Rhinolophus ferrumequinum: one gene and its partner. The protein of the gene in region 2 purifies or fractionates together with the protein of the main gene of each other region. This does not show direct contact. Links are inferred from orthologs where the notes say so. Each region holds a gene or a part of one and is shown on either strand. Other genes may lie near its edges.

Region 1 (7,085 bases), on a different chromosome or scaffold from region 2:
AATTAATGCTATCTCTTCCTTTTAACATAATTTAGAATGGAATGGGAGACTAGGGCTAGTGAGTACGGGGATTTCTTCTTGGAGTGACGAAAACGTTCCGGAATTAGTGGTTATCAATGCATAACTTTATGAATATGTTAAAAACCATGATGCACACTCTAAAAGGGTAAATTTTATGGTATGTAAATTATATCTCAATAATGCTGGTAGTCTTAAAATCAAAATTTAGAAAACAAAACAAAAAAGCTCTGGTTTGACAAAGAGCCCGACAGTGAGCTACTGCCAAAGGATTTGTATCAATAACACTTACTGGAATCGGACATACCTTAATTAGGAAAAGCAATAAAAGTTTCGTATCTTAAGATTTTCATCGCTTATTCTATAAAATATAATTTTCTTATTTCTTGATTTGTTCCATACATCAGATAATAAGTTCACTCCTAATTCTTTCAAATCCAAAACAAATTCTAAAATTTATTACATAGTGAATGTAAAAGAGATATAACTTGGACAAACTGATATTATTTTGAGTTTTAGGCCCATATGCTCCACCAATAGTATTTAAAATAAAGGAAGATTTAAAATAAAACATTTCCAACAAACATTTCTAAAATGTTATTAGAAATTAAACATTTCTAATAAAATTTTGATGCAACCTATTTCCTTTGTTCTACCTTTTCCACTTAAAGGAGTCATCAGAAACTTTTCAAATGATATTCTCAGAAGGATAAATGCAACCATTTTAGACCTCTATTGAAATATCACTGTGTGTGTGTGTGTGTGTGTGCGCGCGCGCGCGTGCGCGTGCGCGCGCTTGTGTGTGTACACACACGCGCGAGCGATATATACACAGGGTTTCCAGGTGGGAATTCCCACCCGTTCTCAGGAATTTTTTTTGCTTTCTCATTCCCGAATTCTGAGAAAAGTTGGTCGGGAAATCAGGAAAATCGGCTCCTTGAACCTAGGCGGTTGGCAGTATCGGTGTCACCGATTCATGGTGGAGAACAGAAACCAGTTTATATCTTGGGATTCTGGACCAGGGAAGCAAAAAAAAATTCCTGAGAACGGGAGGGAATTCCCACCTGGAAACCCTACATATACACAGATACACACATACATACACACATTTTAGACAAGGTTTTATTTTAGGATAGTGAATGGTTTAGCAGTGATAAAAACAAAACTGATACTGAAGTTATTCAAAAGCCACTACCGTCTTGACCTATATATGAACTAATCATTTAGCGATTTGGAAGTGATAGTTTGCATGAGGCTCCCAAAACTTTACAGAGAAAATTAAAATTTTTTAAGGCTTGATTTTAAATATTATCAGTTGTAAAGAGCTTTTCATCAATCTGACTTTTACTGAACACTTACTATATTCCAGGCTGGGTGCTGGAGACACAGATACAACATAGGTCTGTCCTTAAGTCCCATTTTGACTGCTTGCTTTTGTCAGGCACAGCACTAAATACGTTCACTTACAGCATCTGACCTCCTAGGCTTAACCCACAGCGAGGAAATCTGAGGTAAACATTAAAAATGACTGTAAGGCTATACAGCTGTAAGATTAAAAAATTAAATTTGAAAATGAATAAAAACTGTTGTACATTTAGATCAAACCTAGCTCTACTTCCTAATATAACATGCTACTAGAAGTTCCACATCTACTGCTAAAAAGTATTAAAATTACCCAGAGTATCAGTACTTTCTTTAACACACATCACTTATATAATCGCTTTATTTAAAGGTACATCTACTATATTTCAGTCAAAGCATTTTCTATCTTTAAAGGATATCTCTCTTTACCTTCAAACTCTTCATCAGGGTACACGACTGAACAGTTGCTGAATGAATGAATAAATGATAGAATGAATGAATGAAATAAACAGATGTTCTAATTGACAAGGAGGTACTTGTTAAAACACAATGGACTGACAGAACAGAATTCTACTGGAAAGATCATTGAATTTCAGAGGTAAAAATAGTAACCACTGGACATTGTCTGATACCATGCAGTCAACATGTTATTAAGTTCACAGTAAACATCTGATGGGGAACTTCCAGAAATTAAAATGAAAAGTGTTCATTGCAATACTTTAAAACGGACTTGGATCCGCCATCTAATAATTGGAAACATTAAGTGAAAGACAAAGAGATGAGAGGGTGGGATGAAAAAGTCAAAAGGTCACCATCGAGTGACCCTCATGAGAAATGCGCGCTGACCACCGTAGCTCGCGCGGAGCTGGATGGACACCTCCCGCTCAAACCACGGGCCGGGGCTGCCCCTCGCAGCCCAGAGCTGAAGGCCACCCCAGCCTTTCCTCGGCGGCGCTGCCTGTGTTCGCCCTGAACGTTAGCACAAAGAAACCACCGAGAAACAAAACACGGTCTCCGTGGAGGACAGGCAGGCGTTGGGACCCGGTGACCTGAACGCTCTCCGCGACTGCCCACCGCCGGCGGAGGCAGCCAGGGCGCGGCGGGCCGCCAACGCGCCTCGGTCCCGACCTTCGCCGAAGTGTTTCAGAACTTGCCACCCACCCCCGCTCCTTTTCCCCTCCAGACGTGGACACGAGACCTGCGCGAGGACAGACGGGCGGAGCTGGGGCGGCGGAGCCGGGGGCGAACCGCCAGGGCGCGCCAGGGTCCCGCAGCCCCACGCCCCCTGGCCCGCCCCGCCTCCCCGGCCGCTATTGTTCCCGCGCGGCCCCCGCTCGCCGCGCGTCCCCCGCGCGCTCCCGCTCCCACTCCCCGGAGGGGGTCACGGCTGAGAGGAAGGCGTCGGCACAATAACATAAACACGGCGGGGCCGCCGGCCGACCTGGTCCCCCGGCGCCCGCCGCACTCACCCGGCAGCGCACCGAACGGCGACAGGAAAGCCCGCCGGCGGGGACCGGTGCCGTCCGGGCGGTCGCAGCGGCCGTTACCCAGCGTTGCTCGCGGCTCTGCGATCCCGGCCGCGTCGTCCGGCCTCGGCCGCTCCGCTGAGTAACAGGGACGCGGGCCGTCACCGCGCACGCCCGCTCACGTCATCGCGCAGGGCACCGCCCCTGCGCCATGCGAGCAGCCGCGGGGCGGGGCAGCCCCGGGGCCCGGATTGCGGGGGCGGGGCCCGCAGTCTGGGGGCGGGGCTACCCTAGGGGGCCGGGAGGATTAGCGGAGGTCGCCTGAAGGAGGAGCTGCCGGAGAGCCTCTGAGAGCGTCGAGTGAGGGGCGTGGCGGGGAACCGTAGGGGGCGGAGCCCTGATCCTGGCACGTGGCGGCGCGTGGCCAGGCCGCTCAGCAACGGGCCTGGGGCGGTACGCTAGTCTGAGCCCAATCCTTTGGGGCTCTTCTCCCCAGGATTTGGAGGTCAGATGTGCTTAGACCAAACCGGCTGGTGGAGCAGGCACACATGTAAGAGATGAAGAGCTCATTGCCTTGACAGACAATATATTACATTGTAAGGACAACTGCCCCGGGCCCAGCACCCCACAAGCAAATAAATGTTCTCCTCAGCCATCTGAAAAAGCTGCCCCCTATTTTCCTAAAGTCCACCTTCTACCAGATTCCGTGCACTACCCTATTTGTCTCTGGGCCCCACAAAGCGAGTGTACGTTAGTTATCGAAATAACAGACAAGCTTTTAAATATCCAACAATGGGTGGAAATCTGTTCAAATGACACACACCCATGCAATAGAATGCATTTTAGCCATGTAAATGTGATGTGTTCAAGGAATTGCTAAAAAGAAACTGTTCATAATAGATTAAGAGAAAGAAACAAGTCTATATTCATAAAATTATCCTACTTATATACTATGTATACATAGAAAAAACCTAGAAGGAAATCTGCCAAATTATTTTAACAGTAGTTCATCATTGAACTGTGGAATAAAAGGTGAATTGGTTCTCTTTTAAACTTTGGATATTTTTTTCATGGTTTCCAAATGGAACAGTTTATGTTAATAATCAGAAAAAAGTGTGTTATTTTAATGATGAATAAATAATGAACGTAAATATTTGTTGAATAAATTAGTGAATTCAGAGAGTATCTTCTCCCATGTCATGTTGGGCTGGCCTGTTTCCAGTGATTCTGAAGTGGAACATAAATGGAACATTGAATGGCCAATGAAAAGGATGAACCTGTGAAGGAGCTTCCAGGGAGGTAGAAGGAAAAAGAGAGTCAAGAAGAAAAGAGTGATCAATAACATCAAATATAAAAGGAGGCCTGGAAAAAAAAAAAAAAAAGGAGGCCTGAAATCCTGGTGTACTGAGATCTGGAAGTGGATTAGAATGGGCTAAGAAATGAATGGGACATGAGAAAACGGAGGCAGTGGAAATGGATGAATTAGGCAGTGAAAAAAGATGCCAGGATACTTTACATCTGATAGAAAGACTCTGTTGAGAGGGAGAGGTAGCATACAAGAAGCATGAGTGTAAGTTTCCTGGAGGAGTGTGTGTGGGGGAGGTGGGAGGGTATAATTGGACACCCAGGTGGAAGCATCAGCAAGTACTTCCTACTTCCCACCTGACAATGTTAAAGACCTGGAGGTGACAAAAGACAATATCATAGGGTCGTTGTGAAGTGAGTGGTGTTGCAGAACAGAGTTCCTGAGTTTTATGCCCAGTTCTGTAATGCTACTCACAGCCTCTCATTCAACAGGGAGAGTTTCTGAGTTAGCTTCAGCCTGCTACTGTCATCTCCCAATTACCTACATCTAGAACGGACATCCTGCGTGTTTATGTATGTATGTGTGCATGTGTATGATTCCAGAAAACATTCATTGCTTGTGATTGAATGTAATCATCTCTGATATTCTGCAAAGGCAAAATGCTTTTTGTAACCCAGATGTGGCTCTGGGCCTCCTTCTTCCTTCTCATGTCATAGTTCCTTGTTAACCTATTATGGTTCCCTGTGAGCCTTTTGGGTGCAGACTCAGAAAAAGAGGAAGAGCTAAGGAATTCAGGTTTATTTGCCTCTTATCCCAGGGGAGTTGTCTTGGGGAAAGCTGGTCCTTGGGTCTTTCTGAGGCTGGGATGGGGGAAGGCGGGAAGGGAACACTGTAGGCCCCTTAAACCCATTCTCTGCTGGAGCCCTGAGAGATGGTCAAGAAGAGGTCGCACCCTGTCCAGAGCACTTCCCTTGTCATTCTCTGCAGACCACACACACACTGAATTGCAGTGGAGTTGAGACTTTAGCTAAGGTCTCAGGTGCATCTCACACCCAGCTGTTCAAGGGTGCAGAAACCAAAATTTGAAACTTTATTTCACTTCCTAGTTTCTTGACCTCATTCCAAAGAAGGGGAGTCGGGGAGGGGGGCTTACTAAGGCCTGCTGAAGGGCATCTCCAAGGACACCTCTAACTTTCTGACCCCACTTTCACCACCCTCCTCCTTCAGCCTTGCTTTCAAGTCAACCCATCTGTTTTCCCAACCATGACCTTACAGTCTACTTCTGCATCCATAGGAGGAATAGGTTCAGCTCTTCAGTTAATCACCCTCTGACTCTGAGGTGCTCTTTAGGGCTTGTTCAAGGCAGAGCCTGCTGACTTCAGAGAGAGCAGCTCTGTCTCTGGTTGCATGAGTAGAGGAAAGATGAGTGCTCATGTTGTAAATTATCTTTTCAACTGCAAGAACGATGGCTTATTTCATCGGGAGTACAACAGAATCAAAAATGACCAGAGTTCCTCAGTCACACCTTGAACAAAAAAATGTGAAGGTAGAAGTGGGTGGCTCTCTGATTTGAACTTATAAGTAGTACCCCCTTCTTCGTTTGGGCTTCCTCCTTCTCCTTCACCCCCATATGCACACATGGCTTCCAGGTAAACACAAGAGAGAGACAAACCAACTAGTGAAGCCTATAGATTGAGTACACATGCATGTTTTCATGGGAAAAAAATGGTCAGCATTTATTCCTCTAAGATGGTCTCAAACTGTGGTCCCAGACCAGCAATGTCAGCATCACCTGGGAGCTTGCTGGAAATGCAGATTCTCAGAGTCATTTCAGACATCTGAATTAGAAGACTTGGGGTGGTGAGGGAGAGCACTCTGCATTTTAAGGAGCCCTGGAACTGTGGGTTCAGTTCCAAATCACTGCAATACAGTGATTTGTAATATTTTTGCTGGCGGAGGGTCTTAACCGCAGTTTATAAAAAACACAATACCTGTGAATCGCAATAAAGTGAAGTGCAATAAAAGGAGGTATGCCTGTATTTCTAATGAGCACTCAAGTTTGAGAGCCACTGCTCTAGGATGTGCCTCTCAAGTTGACCTGCTCGTTCAAATTAACTTGGGAATTCAACTCCCACAGCTGGACTCCACTTCTGGAGATCCTTCTTCAGTGGTCTGCGGTGGAACCCAGGATTCTGTAGCTTTTCCAAAACCCCTCAGGTGATTTTGATGTGCAGCCAAGATTGAGAGCCAGTGCCTTAAGAAATTCAGCATATTTTCTGTTCTTTAAAATCTCAGAGCAAACAGGACAGGACAACCTGCCCCTCACTATCTTTTGTGTTCAGGTTCTCTCTTAGGCCTTATTTTCATTGTTGGCTCTTTTATTCTAATGTTCTGCATTCACTTCTCACAGCTTAAGTATGTCTTTTCTCCATCCACACTCAGATATTAAAGATATTCAATATTTATCCACTGGAGAAAAAGACTAAAGGAATTGAGTGGGAAGGAAAGAATAAGTTGCTGAAGTTCTATAACTGATAAAAAAAACTCTTGTTGTTGTTTTAAATAAATATAGATTAGGAAGAAGGCTTTCTGTCAGACCTTTTAGCATAGACTCTCTGCACCATTTACAATTTCGAGCCTAGAATTTCTCCCAGCCCAGTGGAATTTTGCCATTTGCAATTCCTATACTGCAGAAGGTCTGTCCAGGCCCCGTGGTGGAGAGAAGACAGCACCCCATTCCTGGTCTCTCTCCCTTGGCAGCTTTAGGGATTATCCATCTCCATCTGCACCTCCACCTCCCTCTCCATCTCCACCTCTAGGGCTTCATCCTTCACCCTTCAGATATAAAACGAACTCATGCTAGACTGGCTGGAACTCTACAAATAACTCTTTGGCAGGGAAACCCCTGTAAATTCCCAACCTCTGCCAAAGTC
Region 2 (7,792 bases):
GTGCATCCTCACTCACGGGGCCTCCTTGGACCTGCAGCTCCTGGGGGGCAGACCCCTTACCTCTCCCCTTCCCCAAAATGCTACGGATCAGGACCCAGAGCTGGGCAGAGCTGGGGGGCAGGGTGGAGAAGCTAAGGACAGCCTTGAGCAGATCAGTGGGGCTAGAACAGGCCAGGTGGGCACAGTGGAAATAGATATTGGAGGGTCTTGGCACTCCCCACTTTCATGGACCCACCCCAGACTCAGCCCAGACACCATTCCTGGGAACTGACGGGCAGAGCACCTATCACCTCCTATTCCAGAGCCTGGGTGCAGGTGGCGGGGCGCTGCCCCGGGAGACCAGGTGTGCTGCACGCCCAGTCCACAGGCAGGACCCCTGCCCCCCCTGCTCCTGTGCTGTACGCCTGCTGTGCCTGCTGGGACACAACGCTCTGCACACTGACCCCCACGGACCACTTCATCCCCCCACTGCTGTATGCAGTTACCTGCAAATGTGCACGCACACACATGTGGTCATTAGACATGTGTCCTCACCCTCTGCACGCCAAATCCCCCCAAATCCCAGGGCACCCGAATCCCAGTTGCCAGCTGCACAACCTCACACCATCAGCTCCCAGGGCCTCCACGAGGTACAGTCATGTTCCTGCACGCGCATGACCAGGAACCTCACAACTGAGCATGCTCACCAAGGACCTTCTGCTTGGCATCTAGTGACGGGGAGCTCACTACCTCCAGAGCTGGCTGTCAGGACTGTCAGCTGCACACGGGAGGACGGGGGCTGTGGCCCTTACTCGGAGGAGTGGTGCCTGGCACACACAGGCAGACTCTGGGAACAGCTGGCAGTCAAGGGACCTGAGATGCCGAGATGGCCAGCCCATCGTGACCCAAGGGCGCCTCTGGAGGCAGAAACCGCCACATTAAGAGATCCGGAGAGACTGCTAGGGGGTGACCTCTGGCAGGTAGCGTGCTCCGCCAGGTCAGCTCGCTTACCCTCCTCATCCATCCGCAGCAGGGACCACTGATTGCTCGTACCCTTGTTCCCCCTCTCGGCGACCTGGGGTGAGTGGGACAGGACCCAAGCGGGCCTCCACTCCCTCGGCGGGGCCCATGGTAAGTCCAAACAGAGGCTATGGACTTGGAAGATGATGGGATGGAGGGGTCCTGCCCCCTTGGTTCCCAGGGGTCTGAACTGAGCCTGGGGGCGGGGGAGGGCTTGGCATGTGGGCCCTTGAAAGGGCATGCTCAGGACCCTATAATATGTGGGTCTCCTAGTCTCCCTCATCTGCAGGGCTTGGCCCCATGCTACACATCCAGCCAGCCCAGCCCAGCCCTCTGCTGGTCACTGTCCACCACGTCACACCTTGGGCCAGCCCAGGGCATATGCTGGTCGCTGCCCGGAGCTGTCCAGGCAGAAGCGGCCTCAGCCCATGCAGGCCCGGTCAGAGTCTGATCCACATCTGTCTTGCTGTGGGTTTCGCCCCCTCCTTTCCTTTCCTTGCGAGCTGCACATCTCGGACATGTAACCAGGACGCTCTCTGGCTCCCCCGACCCCCACTACAGCCCATGGCCCCTGGAGCCCTCTGTCCGGTTGAAACTTCTGGCCCTGAGGTGAGCCTCAGCCTGAGAGGAGAGGTGATGCTGGGAGGGGGGCTTCGAGCATCTTTCTGCATCTCTGATCATGGGACACACTGTTCCGGGAGGCAGCCTTGGGCCCGGGAGTCTTCCCAAGGGCTGAGGCAGCAAGAGATATTCCAGCCAGACTTCAGGGTGAACTGCCATCCTTGTCTGGGGCTCATTAACCATCTGAGGACTGAATGCATAGGACACCTGTCCTCCCCAGCAGGGCAGAGGCACTGGATGCTGTATGCATTCCGGGGCTGCCCTGGGAGACCACGGGGAGCGGGGATCCTCAGGCTTCCACTGGGGGGGGAGGGGGCGGGGACCTAGAGCAGGAAGAACACTGCTCCCCTGGGCCTGCAGCACCCCACCCCAAGCGGCACAAGAACATTGCAGATCCTGCCATCTCTCTCCTCTACCCCCCAGCCCCCCACGTCCCCCATCACTGCAGCTCCCAGGCCCCCAACTCCCCCCAGCAGAAGCCAGAGGCAAATTCTCCCGGAAGGGATGAGCTAGCAGGGGCTCGGCGGCCCGTTGGTGCCCCTTCCCCTCCCGGCTAGACTATTACGTACCCACCCTCAGGTGGGTAGATAGGCCGAGGGAGGCTGGCTGCACTCAGACTGGCAGTGCCAGCCCCTCCCCCAGCGCTCCGGCTGCCTCTGCAGCAGGCTGGCGACGGTCTTTATTCCGCAGAGGCCAGCTGAGCGCCCCGAGGTGGGGGTGCCCGTGGTGGCCTGGGCAGACAGGGGAGATGGAGCTGCAGCCCCTCCCCACCGAACACCGAGCGAGCTCTTCCCTGATCCTCCCACAGGCCAAAGGCCCTCCACGCTGATGGCAAGGCCTCCGCATCTCCCACCCGCCCGCGGCACGGACGACCTTCTCCAATTCTGGGCCCCAACGGGGGGCTGTCCGGTGTGGGGGGAGTCTCCTGCTCCAGCAGAGGTCCGGACAGATGGATCTCAAATGGCCCTCCTGAGTCCTTAATTCATGCCCCTCCCCCCACTAAGGTGAGAAGCAATCGCAAGGAGAAAGGCGGCGAAGCGGTGGCGGGGTGCCGGCCGGGCTGGGGTCCGCTGGGCGCTGCGGAAGGCTGGGGAAGGGCTTCCCCGTCCTGTCCGTGGCGTCCCTGCAAGCCCGGGCCGCTCACCTCCAGGCCCCCTCCTCCTGGGCGCCCGCGGGGCGCAGCCCCCGAACGCTCCGCGCGGGTTAACCCCTCCCCACCGGCGATCCCGCTCACCTCGCTCACTCTCGCCTCCGGGGCGCACCAGGGACCCGCGCCGCGCTCAGCGCGCCCACTCGGCTGCGTCGCCCATGGGCCCAGCGGGGGCCCGCGCAGCCGGGGCAGAGGACTGGGGAGCGTGCGGGCCGCGTCGCCGTCGCCGCCGTCGCCGCCGCGGCCGCCGCGGGGAGCGCTTGCTCGGGCCGGGGCGCGCGCACTGCGGGCGGGCACGCGCACTCGCCGCGCGCATCCCACCCCGCAGCTCGGCGGGCGCGGCCGGTGCGGCTCCGGCTGGGGCTGGGCTTGGGCTCCGGCGTCCGGGCGGGGGGCGCGGAGCCGGCTCCGCCGCGGCGCTCCGCCGCGAGTGACAGGCCCCGGGCGGAGGGCGGGGCCGCCGGCGGGGATGAGGTCATGCCCAGAGAAAAAAGCCCCTGACGTCACCTGCAGCCAATCAGCGCGCGCGGCTCGGGGGCAGGTGACGTCAACCGGAGCTCAGCTTTGGGTGCAGATGAGAGGCGGCGGCCGCGGGGGGCGGGGGGCCGGGCTCGCCGCCGCCGCCCTCCGCCCTCTGCCCTCACCCCGCACCCCGGCACCGGCTCTTAAAGGGGCCGCGCGGTGCCTGCAACCCCACCTCCAGGAAGCCTTCCCAGCCCCAGTGCTCTGCCTGGCTTGGGGACCCCCAGCCTTACCGCACACAGACTCGCGGCGGGTCCGGCTGACCCGGTCCCGCGCGAGGGTCCTCTCCCCGCCGGCCGAGCCAGAGCTGGCGCCGCCCCTCCGCCGCTCCCCCCGCAGCCTTTGTTCGTGCGGGGCCTGCAACCAGGAGAGCCTTCGCTAGCCCGGGGCCTGGCCGCGAGCACGCATCGCGAGGCCGGCCCTGCGGAGCGCCCTCCTGCCTCTGCGCTCACCCTCTCCACGACTCCAGGAGGTGGGAACTTGGGTCTCCACTTCATTTGGGAGGAATTGGAAGCTCAGAGGCTCAGTCACACATCTCATGAACTGTCGTCGGGGGGGGGGGGAGGGGGGGCAGTGCAGCGCTGTCACCCCCAGCCTCACCGATGACCTCCAGACCTTGACGTTTCCAGTGAAAAGCCACTGCTAAACAGCTCGCCCCTAAACAGCCCTCCCGGGGCCCACCCCGACCGTGTGTGCTTCCCCCACCCCAATAAAGACTGTTGAGGGTCGCCCCCAGCCGGTCCCTGTGGGAACACAATCAGCCCTCCGCGTGGACGCAGGGAGTCCAGAGCGGGAACAAACATAGCTAATTACACCTTGGGCAAGTGTTGGGCCGGAAACAAACAGGGGCCAGCGACACTTGAGTGGGTGGGCGTCTGGGAGGCCACCCCAGAAGGTGACATGCAAGCAGTGACTGGAGGCTGACGAGGATGGTGGTGCAGGAGGGACCACCCCAGGCAGGAGAGGACCTTGTCCCTGCACCAGGAGGAGGCCAGGGTGCCGGAGCCAGCGAGGTGAAGAGGACATGCAGCCACCCATCTATTGATTTGTCAAATATTTACTGAGCCCTTCTCTGGGCCAGGCCGTGTGCCACACACCGGGACTTAACTCTGAGAAAGGGGACAAAGACCCCTCCCCAGGGAGTTGACAAGCTCACAGAGACTTTGAAGGTAATACTTTTGGGGGAGGTTTGACTAGAGAGCTCAGACATTTCTAAACCCCTCCCCAGGGCTCCCTCCAGCCTAGAAGCTCAGCCATCACAGATCTGACAGGGGCTTTGTTCCCCGGGGAGTGCAGCCCCCTTCCTATGCGGGGAGGCCACTCAGACCCCAGCGGTCTGAGTGGAAATGGGGGAGGGCAGCAGGTGAGTGTTGGGCAGGGCTCCGGAGGGGCTGGCCCCTGTCCCATGCTCAGTTCTCCCACCAGACTGTGGGTTTCAGCCTCAGGGCTCTGCACACAGTAGGTGTTAAGTAAGTGCATGGGTCTGCCTCACCAGCTGGCCGGAGGAGCATCAGGTTGTTGTGTGGTATGGGGTGTGTGTGTGGGTTGCCTGGCTCAGAGACTACTTATGGTGTACAAACATCTTGGGGTGGGGGTGGGCGCTGTCCCAGAGGAAGCCCTGGGAAGGGGAGCTATCTGGGGTTGGGGCTGTGTTCAGGACTTTCCTCCTTCCTGGCCCCAGGGTGGGCCCCAAGGAGGGAGGGCCTGCTGAGAAGAGAGGTGGTGGCTGAGAAGGACCCTGAGCTCGGTGATGCCCAGCGAGAATGCTGGCCAGGTCCTCAGTGGTGTGGGGTGTGGTGGGGCCTTACTGCATTGGCTCACTCCATGTCTGAAAAGTGGGGGAGGCTGGGCCCTGGGAGTGGGCAGGAGGATTCAGGCTGAACCCCGGAGGGAGCTGGTGAGGAAGGACCCAGAACAGCGAGGTTCTCTTCATGGTTAGATAGAAGAGCTGTCTCCTTGAGGAGGGGATGTCCAACCCAGCTTGCTCCCCTTGCCAGACCAGGATGAGCCCATTTGGAAGAGCAAGGCTGGGGTGTCCAACTGGGCTCCTGCAGAAGGGGTGCCTCCAGCTCTTTTTCTGCCCAGCCCAGATGTGCTCAGCGCTTGCATGTGGCCTGGGGGTGCCCTTGGTCCCTAAGAACGGCAGCTGTGCCCTGGGCAGCTCCCAGGTAGGCCGAGGAGGCAGCAATAAAGCGAGGGCTGGCGGTGGTGTCCCGGTGCCCCCTTCTGGAAGCTTTGGGGGTGTGCGTGTGGCATGCAGTTTCTCAGGTTGTGCCTGGCCAGGGGACTGACTATGTTTAGGCCATGAGTATTTCATGACTCTAATGGTCATTTCACCTGCACACGAGCCCTTAAAACCTGTGGTTCTGCAACAATGGGGCAGCCGGTTAGGGAGGCACCCCCTCTGGAGAGGACACCAGCTCTGGCCCTCAGTTCGCAGTTGGTTCTTCAGTTCCCCTCCTGGCTTCAGGCCGCTCCCTCGGCCCCCAGCAGAGCTCGGCCGCCTGGTTTCCTGGTCCGCTCAGGTGGGCCCCGAGCTTCACGCCCCAAGACCGGGTCAGCTCTGCGGGAGGACCAGCATCTCTTCTCTGCACAGGTGTGGAGCGGCAGGGGCGGCCTGGGAAGTGGGCTGCGGTAGTCCGAGAGGTGGGCCGCGCGAGGAAGGAACACCTCGCGGGGGTTACAGTTCCCCGTAGGGGCCTGGCCTTCCGCAGTGGCCGCCGTGCCAGGCGGGGCAAGGTCCAAGCCCAGCTGTCCGCGCGCCCTGGTTTCCTGGAGGAGATCGTGGCTACGCGGGGTCCTCTGGTGGAGCGGGACCCCGCGCGGGGTCAGGGAGGCGCGGAGGCCGCGTCCGGGGTCGGCTCCGGAACAGCTGGATCTCCCCGCTCGCGGGGCCGGCAGCCCCCCGGCCAGACCTGCGCTCCCTGTCGGGCAGTTTGGCAGGTCGGAGCCCAGAGGTCCCGGCGGTGGCGGTCCGTGTGCGCCCTCTGCCGCCCGCCCGCAACCGCGGGGAGGACGCCCAGAGCGGGCGTTTTTTAAAGCATCCTTGCCATGGAACAGAAGAGCGGGTTGGCTTTTTCTTGTTGCTTTGCAATTTTCTGTTTCCACCAGTGACATATAGTTAACATTTATCCATGGTATTCCATGTCCCACTGCCTGACTTTTTTAAAAACTCAAGCCATAGTTAATACAAAGCATATCCCAGGTGAACGAATAGATACAAGTGTATGCATCCATGCCATCACCACCCGTAAGAGGACTTAGCGCATTTCTGTCACCCCAGAGAGTTCCCTCGGGAGCCTTTCCAGCCAACTGTCCCCTCACCTTCTGACCTATCACCATCAGTTAACGTTGCCTATTCTTGAACTTCATAGAAATGGGAACATGCAGTGTGCATTCTTTTGTGTCTGACTTTTTTTTCCCTCAAGGAAATGCTTTTGTGATTCCCACCGCTCGATGATAAATGTCTGTATTTTATGGATGCATGGTGGTATTTGAGCCAACGCTCTATTAGATGCTACATTATTCCCATATTCTGGTTATTAAGAACAGTACCATCAGCTACATCCTTCAATATGCTTTTCATAACGCATTTCAGATGATTTGTTCCTGGTTTATTACAATATTTAAAAACTTACAAATAAACACAGGGAACAACCTAACAAATGCGCTCCCAGACCTCACAATGTCAGCATGTTTTCCGTTTTTGCTTCCAATTAGGAAGACAACAGCTGGAATCCAGGCGCGTTGCCCACCCTCGCCCCACTGTCCAGAGGCAGCATGGCCGGCTTCTTCCTGGTTCTGTCTTTCTCGATCGACCGCATGTCTGGGTCCCACATACAACAGAGACTATTCCCTTGGGTGCTTTTAACTAGTGACAGGTAAGTATTGCAGTGGAACCATTCTCCCTCCCATTGCTTTTTGTCACTTTCCAGTCTGTTTATGTGAGGGCACGTGAGCCTGGTTCCCTCCTTTCAGCTGCTCTGTAGGTTTCCGTTGTATGAACAGACCATGTACCATTCCTGTAGCCAGGGACATCCAGCTTGTTTGCAAATTGTTCTACACACAGCAGTGCTGCGATAAATGCCCTAGCCGATTTCTCCAGCGCCGTGGCTCTTAGCCGCTCCCCGAGCTGCTGAGCCAGACGGTGTTCTAACAAGTCCAGGAGAGGTGCGGCGTGCACATTCAAGTTTTTCTTTTCCATTTTCTGCATCACTTTAAGTTTTACAATTATTATATAGTAAAATTGACTTTTTTGGTGACGTTGTTATTGTGGTAAGATATGCATAACATAAAAGTTATCATTTTCACCATTTTAAGCGCAACGTCCAGTGGCACTTGGCACATTCACACTGTTGTGTGGCCGTTACCACCATCATCTTCAGAACTCTTGCCATCACCCAAACTGACACTCTGTTCCCGTCCCCCCCCCATCCCAGGCACCACCGTCGCTTGCTGTCTCTGTGAATCTGATTATTCTAGGGACCTCATAGAAGTGGA

Evidence for each region. Proteins that work in one complex are often made in the same cells at the same time.
Region 1: the proteins of DUSP8 (region 2) and MAPK8 purify together in Homo sapiens (affinity purification with mass spectrometry; 3 studies listed by BioGRID and IntAct, counting the BioPlex papers as one, with this or other methods). This does not show direct contact. The link is inferred for Rhinolophus ferrumequinum from reciprocal best matches to the Homo sapiens genes DUSP8 and MAPK8.

What each region holds. Positions count from the first base shown.
Region 1 is NC_046299.1:62,953,982-62,961,066, reverse strand, and holds the start of MAPK8 (mitogen-activated protein kinase 8), read right to left. Parts: upstream 3,018-7,085; 5' UTR 2,850-3,017; intron 1,394-2,849; exon of another isoform or gene 1,378-1,393; intron 1-1,377. UniProt on the Homo sapiens protein: Serine/threonine-protein kinase involved in various processes such as cell proliferation, differentiation, migration, transformation and programmed cell death.
Region 2 is NC_046294.1:1,013,246-1,021,037, forward strand, and holds the start of DUSP8 (dual specificity protein phosphatase 8), read right to left. Parts: upstream 3,006-7,792; 5' UTR 2,855-3,005; intron 1-2,854. UniProt on the Homo sapiens protein: Has phosphatase activity with synthetic phosphatase substrates and negatively regulates mitogen-activated protein kinase activity, presumably by catalysing their dephosphorylation.